Stegostoma tigrinum: one gene and its partner. The protein of the gene in region 1 binds, or shares a complex with, the protein of each later gene. Links are inferred from orthologs where the notes say so. Each region holds a gene or a part of one and is shown on either strand. Other genes may lie near its edges.

Region 1 (7,137 bases):
CCCCACACACATCACCCCCCCACACACACACATCACCCCCCCCCACAAACACACACATCACCCCCCCCACACACACACATCACCCCCCCCACACACACACCACCCCCCCACACACACACCACCCCCCCACACACACCACCCCCCCCACACACAGATCCCCCCCCACACATAGATCCCCCCCACACACACACAGAGATCCCCCCCGACACACACACACACACACATCCCCCCCACACACACCCACACCCCCCCCCACACACACCCCCCACCCCCCCACACACACCCCCACCCCCCCCACACACACCCCCCCACACACACACATCCCACCTCACACACACACACGCACACATCCCCCCCCCCACACACACACACCCCCTCACACACACACACCACCTCACACACACACACCCCCCTCACACACACACACCCCCCTCACACACACATCACCCCCCACACACACACATCACCCCCCACACACACATCACCCCCCACACACACTCACCCCCCACACACACACATCCCCCCCCCACACACACACACACACCCACACAAACATCCCCCTCCCACACACACACACACATCCCCCTCCCACACACACACACACACACACACACACATCCCCCCCCCACACACACACACACACACACATCCCCCCACACACACACATCCCCCCCCCCACACACACACACACACCCCACACACACACACAGATCCCCCCCCACACACACACATCCCCCCCCACACACACACATCCCCCCCACACACACACACATCCCCCCCACACACACACACACATCCCCCCACACACACACGTCCCCCCCACACACACACGTCCCCCCCCCACACACACGTCCCCCCCCACACACACACGTCCCCCCCCACACACACGTCCCCCCCCCACACACATGCATCCCCCCCACACATGCATCCCCCCCCACACCACACACACACACACACGTCCCCCCCCCCACACACACACACACACATCCCCCCACACACACACACCCACACACACATCCCCCCACACACACACATCCCCCCTCCCACACACACACCCACACACACATCCCCCCACACACATCCCCCCTCCCACACACACACCCCCCCTCCCACACACACACCCACACATCCCCCCTCCCACACACACACCCACACACCCCCCCTCCCACACACACACCCACACACACACACACACACATCCCCCCTCCCACACACACACATCCCCCCACACACACACACACACCCCCCACACACACACACACACATCCCCCCCACACATCCCCCCCACACACACACATCCCCCCCCCACACACACACATCCCCCCACACACACACATCCCCCCCCACACACACACATTCCCCCCCCCCACACACACACATTCCCCCCCCCACACACACACATTCCCCCCCCCACACATATACACACACACAGATCCCCCTCACACACACACATCCCCCCCCCACACACACCCCCCCCACACACACACACGTCCCCCCCCACACATGCATCCCCCCCCCCACACACCCCCCCCCACACACACACACGTCCCCCCCCACACATGCACCCCCCCCCCACACACACACACGTCCCCCCCCCACACACACACACACGTCCCCCCCCACACACACACACATCCCCCCTCCCACACACACACCCACACACATCCCCCCTCTCACACACACACCCACACACACATCCCCCCACACACACACACACCCCCCACACACACACCCACACATCCCCCCCACACACACACCCACACATCCCCCCCCACACACACACATCCCCCCCCCACACACACACATCCCCCCCCCACACACACATACACACACAGATCCCCCCCACACACACACATCCCCCCCCACACACACACATCCCCCCCCACACACACACACATCCCCCCCCACACACACACACATCCCCCCCCACACAAACACACATCCCCCCCACACAAACACACACCCCCACACACACACACCCCCACACACACACCCCCCCAACACACACACCCCCCCAACACACACACACACATCAGCCCCCACACACACACACACATCACCCCCCCACACACAGCCCCCCACACACACACACACCCCCACACTCATCACCCCCCCCACACTCATCTCCCCCAACACACCCCACACACACATCCCCCCCCACACACACACACATCCCCCCCACACACACACACACACATCCCCCCCCACACACACACACATCCCCCCCCACACACACACACCCCCCCACACACACACACACATCCCCCCCACACACCCCCCCACACACACATCCCCCCATCCCCCCCCCACACACACACATCCCCCCCCCCACACACACACACCCCCACACACACACCCCCATCCCCCCACACACACACACCCCCATCCCCCCACACACATCCCCCCACACACACACATCCCCCCCACACACACACACACATCCCCCCACACACACACATCCCCCCACACACACACACACCCCCCAACACACACACACACATCAGCCCCCACACACACACATCACCCCCCCACACACAGCCCCCCACACACACACACACCCCCACACTCATCACCCCCCCACACTCATCTCCCCCCAACACACCCCACACACACATCCCCCCCCACACACACACACATCCCCCCCCCACACACACACACACACACATCCCCCCCCACACACACACACATCCCCCCCACACACCCCCCCACACACACATCCCCCCCACACACCCCCCCACACACACATCCCCCCCCACACACCCCCCCACACACCCCCACACACACACACCCCCATCCCCCCCCCACACACACACACCCCCATCCCCCCCACACACACACCCCCACACACACACACCCCCCATCCCCCCACACACACACACCCCCACACACACACACACACATCCCCCCACACACACACATCCCCCCCCACACACACACACACACACATCCCCCCACACACACACATCCCCCCCCACACACACACACACACACATCCCCCCACACACACACACACACACACATCCCCCCACACACACACACACCCCCCACACTCATCACCCCCCACACTCATCACCCCCCACACTCATCACCCCCCCACACACCCCACACATCACCCCCCCCACACACACACACACATCAACCCCCACACACACACACCCATCACCCCCCCACACACACACCCATCACCCCCCCACACACACACCACCCCCCCACACACAGATCCCCCCCCACACTCACAGATCCCCCCCCACACTCACAGATCCCCCCCACTCACCCCCTCCCACACACACACACATCCCCCCCCACACACACACATCCCCCCACACACACACACCCATCACCCCCCCCCACACACACACCCCCCACACACACACACACACCCATCACCCCCCCACACACACACACACCCATCACCCCCCCACACACACCCCCCCCCACACACACACACACCCCCCACACACACCCCCCCACACACACACCCCCCCCACACACACACACACCCATCACCCCCCCACACACACACACACCCATCACCCCCCCACACACACACCACCCCCCCACACACAGATCCCCCCCCACACTCACAGATCCCCCCCACACACACACATCCCCCCCCCACACACACACATCCCCCCCCCACACACACACACACATCACCCCCCCACACACACACATCACCCCCCCACACACACACATCACCCCCCCACACACACACACACACACCCCACACACACACACACACACACCCCCCCCACACACACACACACACACACACCTCACCAGGCTCACAGCCCCCTCCCCCGGCGTCAGGGATTCTCTGTTTGATACAAACTTGGAGTTCCCGCCCACCTCCGGGTTGTTGTGGGAGAGGGACTCCTTGAGAAGTTGCTGCCTCTCTCGAAGCCTCAGTCCGGGGCGGGACCGCTTTCAGGAGAGCAGCTCCGAGTGGAGTGCAGTGTCACGTCCCGACCCAGCTCTCGGGCCACGAACTAGAGCAGATCCCGAGCCGCTTGCTGTCTGTCCGTGACTTTCCCAACTCTCAGCCCCGCTCTCCGCTCGCTCCGGGATTTACAGCGGCAGCTGGTTACTCTCTAACCTGCTGGATTTATGATCTGTCTGCAAGGAATATCTCGTGGATTGAAGGAAAGAGAGAGATCTCCCTGATCTTGGACTGGAGGAATGTTTGGACTGAGTTTGTGTCTCATTTCACTGCCAGCCTTTCTCTCAGGTAGGAGTCCTGGGGGAGGGGATGGTGGGGGCAATGAACACAGGACACACTCATTCGGACTCGGGAGGAAGTTTCTTTTATTGGGACTTGGGAGAGTCTCTGGTTTCCGTTGCTAGGAGCTGGAGTTTTAAAACTTTCCAGCGCCCACCGTTCAAGTTTCGGCTCAGAGGGTCCTGTCCCCCTCTCTCCTTGCAATCGCCCTCTCTCCCTCCTCTCCCCATCCCTTCCCCATCCCTTCCCCATCCCTCTCCTCCCCCCTCCCCACCTTTTCCACTCCTCTACCCCATCTCCCTCTGCCACTGCTCAGGGACCACGGGCAAACTGCTGTCCTCCCAACCGCCCTTCAGCTCCCCTCTCGGTGGAAGTAGCAGCTCACCATCTCTGCTCCGTGTGAGAGGATGTTGCTGACGCACTGAACCCTGTGGTCTGACTGCACACAGGGGACCGAGAGGGAAGGAGAGAGAGTCAGAAGGAGAGGCAGAGAATGACACTGAGGGAGAGTCTTGAGTACACAGACTGAGACAGAGAGACTGATGGGGAGCCAGAGATACAGTCTGAGAGGGATGGAAATAGACTGGCCAAAGGAGACATTAAAGGAGAGATTGAGAAAGACTGAGAGAGAAATGGAGGGAGAGTGTGGGGGGAAAAGAGAGAGACCGAGGGAGAGAGAAAGAAAAATATTCAGGAGAGACCATAATGGAGAAATCTGGGGCTTTTCCTGCTGAATTTTGCTTCTCTGATTTTGCTAGCTCACAATTATGACACCAGGAATTATCAAACTACTTCAACATTGTTTGGCAAAATATTCAACCCCAGATCGTAGAACCTAACTCTTCATCCTGGGACATGAACCACACAATTCCCAGTCTGTAGACCATGACACTGGTCCCGAGAATGGAGAGCACACCACAGTGTCCAGTCTAGAACATGGATCCTCCCCTGACTGTTAGACTCTAGAACATTGCCAATCCTCAGTCTCTAAAATGTGATCCAGTCTTCTGTGACCAAGAACATGAGCCTGACCCATCCCCCCAGTCTTTAGAACACAGCTACTCAACTCCAGAACACAACAAGCCCAAGAATCTGGAACATGATTCAAATTCCTGCTATCCAGATTCTAGACCATGACCCTGACCACCCCTTCATGTGAGCCTTGTTCACCAAACTCTGGAACATAAACAACCCCCAAGCTGGCTGATTCTAGAACAAATGAATGATCTCCAGATGATAGACTTTCTAACTGGAATCCATTCCCCAGGACATGACACCCTAAAATAAAGAGCTTTGGCATTGAAGATCTGAAACAAATAAAAACAGGAATCGCTAGAGAAACCCGGCAGCTCTGGCAGCAATGTGGAGAGAGAAACAGAATTAACTTGCCGAGTTCTGAAGAAAGGTCACTGGACTTGAAGTGTTAACACTGTTTCCTGTTGTTGCCAGGCCTATTGAGTTTTCCCAGCAATTCCTGTTTTTGTTTATTTCTGCATCATTCCTCCCCATTCCTCAGACCCTAGATCTAACTCTCCTTCATTTCAATACACTCCGACAGAAAAGGATATCAGTTTAATTGGGACAAAGTTACATTACTAGGGCAAGCATGAAGGTTCCAACCATTGGTGAGATAAACAAACATGCTGAAAAAGACCCCAACTACATACCACCCCAGTAAAAAAACCACACACAAGACTACCCACCATGACAGACCAGGCCATATTAATTAACAGCAGGACAATGGAGGCTAGACAGCACTGAAGATATCACCTAGTGGTAGATAAAATGTTTGCTCAGCTAACCAACCAATAACTCCAACCCCAACCCAAGCTACAGATCTTCATTAAAAAATTACTCAGACCCAAGAACGTAATCCCAATGCTGCAGACTCTGTAAATCACAATACCCCATTTCTCAGGCTCTGGAACTCAAATCCCAATCTCCAGACTTTGGTACATGACCCCTATTCCACAAATTCTAGAACTCAAATCTCACTGCAAGACCCCCTCCCCCACCTAAGCTCTAGAACTCATATCTCACACATAGCCCAATACCCAAGGTCTAGACTCAAAATCCCATCTTCCAGACTCTGGAACACGACCCAATTCTCCAGGCCATTGAACTCAAACCTTGTCCCCCCAGATTCTGGAACCCAACTCCAGCCCTCATGTTCTGGAGCTCAAATTCCACCTCCACCCCCATTCTCCAGACTCTGGACCATGATCGCCATTCCCCAGGCTGTAGAACTTGAATACCTATTTTCCAGCTTCTAAAACTCACTCCATCCTCATTCTCTAGATTCTACAATACCCCTGGATTTTTAGATGGCTGACATTGCATCATCCATATCTTCATCAAATTGAACCTGGGCAAAACTGTGTTGCCTGTGCTGTAAACCACACTGAGTCCCATTAACCATGAACTCCCATGTTTGCTGACCTTCACTAAACCTCCAAGACCAGCAGCACCTTCTTATAAAATTCTCCTCTTTGTTTCAAATCCCTCCCTGGCCTTCACGCCCCCTCTCTAGTTCTGTCATTTACAGACCCACACCTTCCATTAAACAGGCTACATAAATGTAACTTGGTTTTAAGATTGAGCTGGGGCATGTGGATGGGAAGGATGTCTTAGTCCTCCCAGAAAGATGTGTGCTGCTCCAGTTGCTCTGTGTTTTGTTTTAAACTTCATTTACTCCGCTGTTAACAAATGCACAGTAGTTGACAATATTCTGACCAAATGTTATGTGTCTCTGTGTCTGTGTGTATGAGTGCCTGTCTGTGTGTGTGTGTGAGTGCCTGCCTGTGTCTGTGTGTATGAGTGCCTGTCTGTGTGTGTGTGTGTGAGTGCCTGTCTGTATCTGTGTGTATGAGTGCCTTCTGTGTGTGTGAGTGCCTGTCTGTGTCTGTGTGTGTGAGTGC
Region 2 (7,585 bases), on another chromosome or scaffold:
ATGGTAACTGTACTCTGAAGCACAGAGAACCTGGATGCTGCTGAGGGTACAGAATTTTGCTTTTGCTAAATTTGTACTTTATTCCCTATTAAATATTTTAAAACTTGAAAATCAGCCATTCAGGGAAGAAAGAAAAAACCATCAATCTATGACACATGTAAAGACGACTCTTACAAGAAAGTTTGTCTAAATTGAAGTTAATTATTGGAATGCGACTGTGAATAACTTGTACTGACAACTAGATAAGAATTTCACTATTTTTGTCTTTCAGGGTTCCAGCTGGGGCATTGATCCTAGCAATGCAGAAAGTTAGTGGAGAGACCCTCAGAGAACGTAAACGTAGAGAACGGCGAGAGATTTATGAACTTAAGTTGGAAGAATGGTATGACGTGGTAATTCTATGATCATAGATAAATTGCTGAAATTAGAATAGCAGAGGAGAAATGTTTGAAAAGTGTTTTACAAGAATAATGTATTTTTTAAAAATATTCTCTTCCTCTTCCTATAAATGTTAATATTTTGGTCATTGATCTTTTGAACAGAAACGCTCCACCTGAAACATAATAATTCTCCTTTCTGTTCAAACACTAAGCAGACTGGTATGCATTTCCTGTAATTTCAATAGTCATCACCCACTGAAATCATAAATTTAAGTGACAGAGTTAATGTGCAGGTTTCTAATTGGCACTTAGTTAAAATGAGCTAGAGTGGACACAATGGGTTAAATGGCTCCTTTTGCACTATAACAATTGTTTATCAGCAGTTTCTTAATGCCACTATGTTTGTTTTTATTACATTCATGTATCATTTCCCCAGGGAAGCCAGACTGCATGTGACAGAAGGTTTAATTGATGAAATTGCCAGAAAAGATTCAGTGGAAAATGATTTGGAGAAATTGGAAGAGCTGTTGAATCAGCCCAGAAATCCAGAGTCTTCAGTTAAAGAGAAAATCTGACTGAACAGGGAAATTGAGAAGAAATTTATATGAATGATACCAACTGTCGTAGACATCTTGAGAAAATATTGTCTGAGCTAGCTAATGAAAATTACGTTCTTGATGTTACTAAAGAACAGTCCATCAAAGTAAATTCCTGGATTGAATTGATAAGCACTGGGATACTTGGAATTTGCTGTCTTGTATAATTATGAACATATGTGACTACTTGTATATTGAAGATGTCCAATGGATTTGTGTTTGTTATATTCTCTCTCACTGCAACATTTTGAAGGCTTAGAAAAGTACTGTCTTTGAAAATGATAAATCAGTTGATCAAAGTTGCACCTTCGATGTTGGAATTGTTGTAATGTGCTCTTGCTGAATTGAAGAACAGAGTAAAATCATAACAAACCTCATTCTTATCTGATTGCTCAGCAAATTAACTTGGCTGCGAGTTCCCTATCCCAAGAAATTAGCTAACCATTTCTCATGGCCACGCAGAATGACCAAGATTAGAATCCTGTTGCATGGTCATTCCTGGACAAGTTCATTAAAGACTTGATACCACCCAGCACTTGTCTTGTATATCAATGACTGGAGTTTAGTTTTTGGTTTTGATATATTTTTAATATAGGTTAAAATCTTGACATTACTTCCTGTCAATGACTGACTGAAGAAAAGTTTGTACCGCACATTAAAACAGTCTGTTGAAAAAGTGAGCAGTGCGAATGAAGCACACGTGAATTTGAGAACATGAGTTTTGTATTGAAAACACATTCTGATCTTCCAAAATGTTGTCATTGTGCTAGGAAAGAGTTAATCTGAACTAATATGCAAAACCAAGTAAATGAAAGACAAATTCTGATCACTGCTGACTGATTTGTAGTTGCAATAAAGTCTCTTAAATTTGTGCTATATTGCAGCAGAGTTCTGCAATGTAGCAGATTTAGGAATGATTTTAATTATTAAACCATCTTTATTTTTGAGAGTTGGAATGGTTACACAAAGTGGAGTTATTTTGACTGAGTGACCACAAATCTTTCACAAAATACTACTTGGGAAAAAGTAGAGCTGAAGATTACACTCAATAATTTAGAAAAGAGCTAGTTCTACAATGCTGAAACCAATGAAGACAACATGTATGTATACTTGAGGCGGTTCAGTACAGAAAGAATGACTTGCATTTGAACTGTCAACACTTGAGTATGGGTTGTTGAATTTGAGATTCATAGTCTCCAGCTGGGGAGACAGAATAGATACTTGTAGTATGAATGAACTGAGGAGACTGGGAGGGTTGAAAGAAAGATGATGGGCGGGAGAAAAGGAGCTGGATTGTGTGGTCAGAAAGCAGGCACTCGGGATGGGAGTTTGGAGATCACCAGGATTGAAATCTGCTAACTCTTGAAAGGAGTCTAAAGATCATTCGGAAACAGTTAAGAAGTTTATTAAAGAAGATAGATATAAGATCAATGATAATGGGAACTGCAGATGCTGGAGAATCCAAGATAACAAAAGTGTGGAGCTGGATGAACACAGCAGGCCAAGCAGCATCTTTGTGCTCCTGAGATGCTGCTTGGCCTGCTGTGTTCATCCAGCTCCACACAGATATAAGATCAAGTCTGCTTGATCATGGCCAGTATGTTTTTTTTCAACCCCATTCTCCTGCCTTCTCCCGATAGTGCTTGATCCACTTATTTATCAAGAACCTATACCTCTCTTAAATACTCAATGATTTGGCTTCCACAGCCCTCTGTGGCAATGAGTTCCACGGATTTACCACCCTCTGGCTGAAGGAATTCCTCATCTCAGTTCTGAAGGGTTGTCATTTCAGCCTGAGGCTGCGTCCTCAGGTTCTAATCTCTCCTACTAGTGAAAATGTTGTCTTCAGGTACACCTGATCTAGGCCTCTCAGTATTCTGTAAGTTTCAATGAGATCTCCCCCTCATCCCTGTAAACTCCATAGAGGACAAACCCAGAGTCCTCAACCATTCCTCATGTTGATGAGCTCAAGTTTGGAGTTCTACACTGCTGTCCTTACAGTTCACAATTTTTTCAAGTTTTGTGTCTCTGCAAACTTTGAAATTGTCCCCTACACTTCAAGATCTAACACATGACAGAATTTTTTTTAATAATTATCTGACACGTATGGGAACAGGAGTACACTGATTGATTAAATATTCCAGATAGTCGAAAGGTCACAAATCAATGTAAAAACACACACACTAGGTAATGGAAATGTGATGCAAGGGGATACATGTCACTGTTATACTTTATTTACTACACAAATCAGTTAAATAATAATGCAACAAAAACAAAGTTGCAGGAAAAGCTCAGCAGGTGTGGCAGCATCTGTGAAGGAGAAAACAGAGTTAATATTTCTGGTCCGGTGACCCTTCCTCAGAATTAATAGCAGCTGGGAAAACATCAGTTTATATGCAGAAAATAGTAAGGTGGGAAGTAAACGATAGGATAGAGCCCGAAGAGAGAGAGAAAGATAGTTGGAAAGGTAGAGATGATAACGATCAGGCTGGGAGGGTGATTAGTTGTTAATGGGGACCATTAGTGACTAACAACAAGGGGTGTGTATAGTAGGCTATGTGGTTACAAAGCCTGGTGTGTGTGGGGCTGGGGCAGGGGAAAGTTTAGGCCCTAAAATTATTGAACTCAGTATTGAATCCGGTGGGCTGTAGGGTCCCCAGAAATGAAGTGTTGTTCCTCCAGCTTGCGTTGAACTTCACTGCAACACTGTAGCAAGTCAGAGACAGAGATGTTGGCCAGGGAACAGGGTGGTGCATTGAAGTGGCAGGCAAAACGGGTAGTTCAGTGTCTTTTTTGCGAGTAGAACGTGGATGTTCTGCAAAGTAGTTGCCAAGTCTACGCTTCGTTTCTCCAATGTCGAGGAGACTACATTGTGAATAGTGAATGCAGTAGACTAGATTCTGGAAAGTGCAAGTGAAGTGTTGCTTCACCTGGAAGGTCAGGCAACGGCAAGTTATGCCTGTCTCTTCATGGGGTATGTGGAATGTTCCTTGTTCCGGTCCTGTTCCGGCCCCCACCCACGACTCTTTCTCCGAGACATTGAAGATAATGTCAATGCTGCCTGTTTCCTTCCCCAAAGGACGTTAGTGAGCCAGGTGGGTTTTCTGACAATCGGCAATAGGTTCATGGTCCTCATTTGATTCTTAATTCCAGATGTTTTATTGGATTCAAATTCCACCATCTGCTGTGGAGGGATTTGTACACGGACCTCCGGAATGTTATGAGTCTATGGATTACAGCCCAGTGATAATACCACTAGGCCATTGCCTCCCCTGTTATTTGAGCTGTGTAATTTTTGCCTGTTTTATCAAGCGTGATGGCTAAAGCAAAATTTTATGATCAGGAAAAACCAGAATCTCACACCAACTTCTGCCCTGAAAAAAATACATCGACGATTAATCCCTGTTTCCTATCACTGAGCCATTGTATATCCATATTGTCATTGAGTTGTACTGTTTCCCTCTCCACAGATGCTGCTGTGTTTCTCCAGCAATTTTTGTGTGTTTTTAATGACAAAACAATTAGAACCTGCAATACCCAGGTCTCTGGTTGCAGTCAGTGAGTAGGCCTCAGCGCGGTCTCCATGGTAACGAGCGTGTCAGCGCGCAGGCGCAGTAGGCCATGGCGCGGAAATGGCGGCCGTTGTCGTTGATATTGACGGCGGCAGCGCTGGCTTTGGGCAGCCCGAGGGTGGGGGCCGTCGGCCGCAGCTCCCCAGCAGGTAAAAGGGGGGAGTCTCTTGGAACCGAGCCGCCCAGTCAGTCGGGGGCTCGCACAATCGGGGATCTCTGTTCCTCAGACATGGGCCGTTTGAGACAAAGAAAATCAGGCAAAGCGTGGGATGAGGGGGGGAATGATGATGATGGGGGGGGGGGAATGATGATGATGGGGGGGGGGGGAATGATGATGATGGGGGGGGGGGAATGATGATGATGGGGGGGGGGAATGATGATGATGGGGGGGAATGATGATGATGGGGGGGGAATGATGATGATGGGGGGGGGAGGATGATGATGGGGTGGGGGGAGGATGATGATGGGGGGGGAGGATGATGATGGGGGGGATGATGATGATGGGGGGGGGGAGGATGATGATGGGGGGGGAGGATGATGATGGGGGGGGGAGGATGATGATGGGGGGGGATGATGATGATGGGGGGGGGATGATGATGATGGGGGGGGGAGGATGATGATGGGGGGGGGAGGATGATGATGATGGGGGGGGAGGATGATGATGGGGGGGGAGGATGATGATGGGGGGGGGAGGATGATGATGGGGGGGAATGATGATGGGGGGAACGATGATGGGGGGGGAATGATGAGGGGGGGAAATGATGGGCGGGGAAATGATGGGGTGGGATTGGGGGGGAATGTTCGGTGGGGGGAATGATGGGGTGGGAATGATCGGGTGGGATTTGCGGGGGGAATGATGGGGTGGGAATGATCGGGTGGGATTTGCGGGGGGGAATGATGGGGTGGGATTGGGGGTGGGAATGATCGGGTGGGATTTGCGGGGGGGAATGATGGGGTGGGGTTGGAGGAGGGAATGATGGAGAGGGATTGGGGTGGGAATGTTGGGGGGGGGAATGATGGGGTGGGATTGCGGGGGGGAATGTTGCAGTGGGGAATGATGGGGTGGGATTGGGGGGGAAGATGGGGTGGGATTGGGGGGGGAATGATGGGGGGAGAATGTTGGGGGGGAATGATGGGGTGGGATTGGGGGGGAATGATGGGGTGGGATTGGGGGGGGAACTGATGGGGCGGGAAATGTTGGGGGGGGAAATGTTGGGGGGGGAATGATGGGGCGGGATTGGGGGGGGAATGATGGGGCGGGATTGGGGGGGGAATGATGGGGTGGGATTGCGGGGGGGAATGATGGGGTGGGATTGGGGGGGAATGATAGGGTGGGATTGGGGTGGAATGATGGGGGGGAAATGTTGGGGGGGGAATGATGGGGTGGGATTGGGGGTGGGAATGATGGGGTGGGATTGGGGGTGGGAATGATGGGGTGGGATTGGGGGTGGGAATGATGGGGTGGGATTGTGGGGGGGAATGATGGGGTGGGATTGGGGGGGGTATGATGGGGTGGGATTGGGGGGGGGAATGATGGGGTGGGATTGGGGGGGGAATGATGGGGTGGGATTGGGGGGGGAATGATGGGGTGGGATTGGGGGGGGGAATGATGGGGTGGGATTGGGGGGGGAATGATGGGGTGGGATTGGGGGGGGAATGATGGGGTGGGATTGGGGGGGGGAATGATGGGGTGGGATTGGGGTGGGGAATGATGGGGTGGGATTGGGGGGGGAATGATGGAGAGGGATTGGGGTGGGAATGTTGGGCGGGGGGAATGTTGGGGGGGGAATGATGGGGTGGGATTGGGGGGGGAATGTTGCGGTGGGGAATGATGGGGTGAGATGGGGGGGAATGATGGGGTGGGATTGGGGGGGTGAATGTTGGGGGGGGAATGATGGGGGACAATGTTGGGGGGGGAATGTTGGGGGGCGAATGATGGGGTGGGATGGGGGGGGAATGATGGGGTGGGATGGTGGGGGAATGATGGGGTGGGATGGGGGCGGGAATGATGGGGTGGGATTGGGGGTGGAATGATGGGGGGGGAAATGTTGGGGGGTGAATGATGGGGTGGGTTGGGGGGGAATGATGGGGGTGGGATTGGGGGGGGTGAATGATGGGGTGGGATTGGGGGGGTGAATGATGGGGGGGAATGTTGGGTGGGGAATGATGGGGTGGGATTGGGGGGGGAATGATGGGGTGGGATTGGGGGGGGAATGTTGGGGGGGGAAATGATGGGGTGGGATAGGGGGGGGAATGATGGGGGGGATTGTGGGGGGGAATGATGGGGTGGGATTCGGGGGGGGAATGATGGGGTGGGATTCGGGGGGGGAATGATGGGGTGCGTTGGGGGGGGAATGATGGGGTGGGATTGGGGGGGGGAATGATGGGGTGGGATTGGGGGGGGAATGATGGAGAGGGATTGGGGGGGGAATGATGGGGTGGGATTGGGGGGGGGAATGTTGCGGGGGGGAATGATGGGGTGGGATGATGGGGTGGGATGGGGGCGGGAATGATGGGGTGGGATTGGGGGTGGAATGATGGGGGGGAAATGTTGGGGGGTGAATGATGGGGTGGGTTGGGGGGGAATGATGGGGGTGGGATTGGGGGGGTGAATGATGGGGTGGGATTGGGGGGGGGAATGTTGGGTGGGGAATGATGGGGTGGGATTGGGGGGGAATGATGGGGTGGGATTGGGGGGGGAATGATGGGGTGGGATTGGGGGGGGAATGATGGGGTGGGATTGGGGGGGGAATGTTGGGTGGGGAATGATGGGGTGGGATGGGGGGGGAATGTTGGGGGGGGGAAATGATGGGGTGGGATGGGGGGGGAATGATGGGGGGGATTGTGGGGGGGAATGATGGGGTGGGATTCGGGGGGGGAATGATGGGGTGGGATTCGGCGGGGGAATGATGGGGTGGGATTCGGGGGGGGAATGATGGGGTGCGTTGGGGGGGGAATGATGGGGTGGGATTGGGGGGGGGAATGATGGGGTGGGATTGGGGGGGGAATGATGGGGTGGGATTGGGGGGGGAATGAT

The links.
Region 2: the proteins of neurogenic locus notch homolog protein 1-like (region 1) and poglut1 are in contact, whole or in part, in a crystal structure (PDB 5UB5), measured with the Homo sapiens proteins. The link is inferred for Stegostoma tigrinum from reciprocal best matches to the Homo sapiens genes NOTCH1 and POGLUT1. Residues at the interface, in NP_060087.3 of Homo sapiens: Asn454, Glu455, Cys456, Val457, Asn459, Pro460, Cys461, Gln462, Asn463, Asp464, Ala465, Cys467, Gly472, Glu473, Phe474, Val485, His486; in NP_689518.1 of Homo sapiens: Met103, Phe104, Pro105, Ser106, Arg107, Asp133, Gly170, Pro171, Ala172, Val173, Trp174, Pro178, Thr179, Gly180, Thr214, Asn239, Gln240, Ala241, Val274.

Annotation. Positions count from the first base shown.
Region 1 is NC_081382.1:43,059,178-43,066,314, reverse strand, and holds the start of neurogenic locus notch homolog protein 1-like, read left to right. Parts: upstream 1-3,914; 5' UTR 3,915-4,179; coding exon 4,180-4,228; intron 4,229-7,137. UniProt on the Homo sapiens protein: Functions as a receptor for membrane-bound ligands Jagged-1 (JAG1), Jagged-2 (JAG2) and Delta-1 (DLL1) to regulate cell-fate determination.
Region 2 is NC_081372.1:5,662,664-5,670,248, reverse strand, and holds the start of poglut1 (protein O-glucosyltransferase 1), read left to right. Parts: upstream 1-4,584; 5' UTR 4,585-4,597; coding exon 4,598-4,697; intron 4,698-7,585. Other genes in the region: timmdc1 (complex I assembly factor TIMMDC1, mitochondrial), read left to right, coding at 272-382, 817-955. UniProt on the Homo sapiens protein: Dual specificity glycosyltransferase that catalyzes the transfer of glucose and xylose from UDP-glucose and UDP-xylose, respectively, to a serine residue found in the consensus sequence of C-X-S-X-P-C.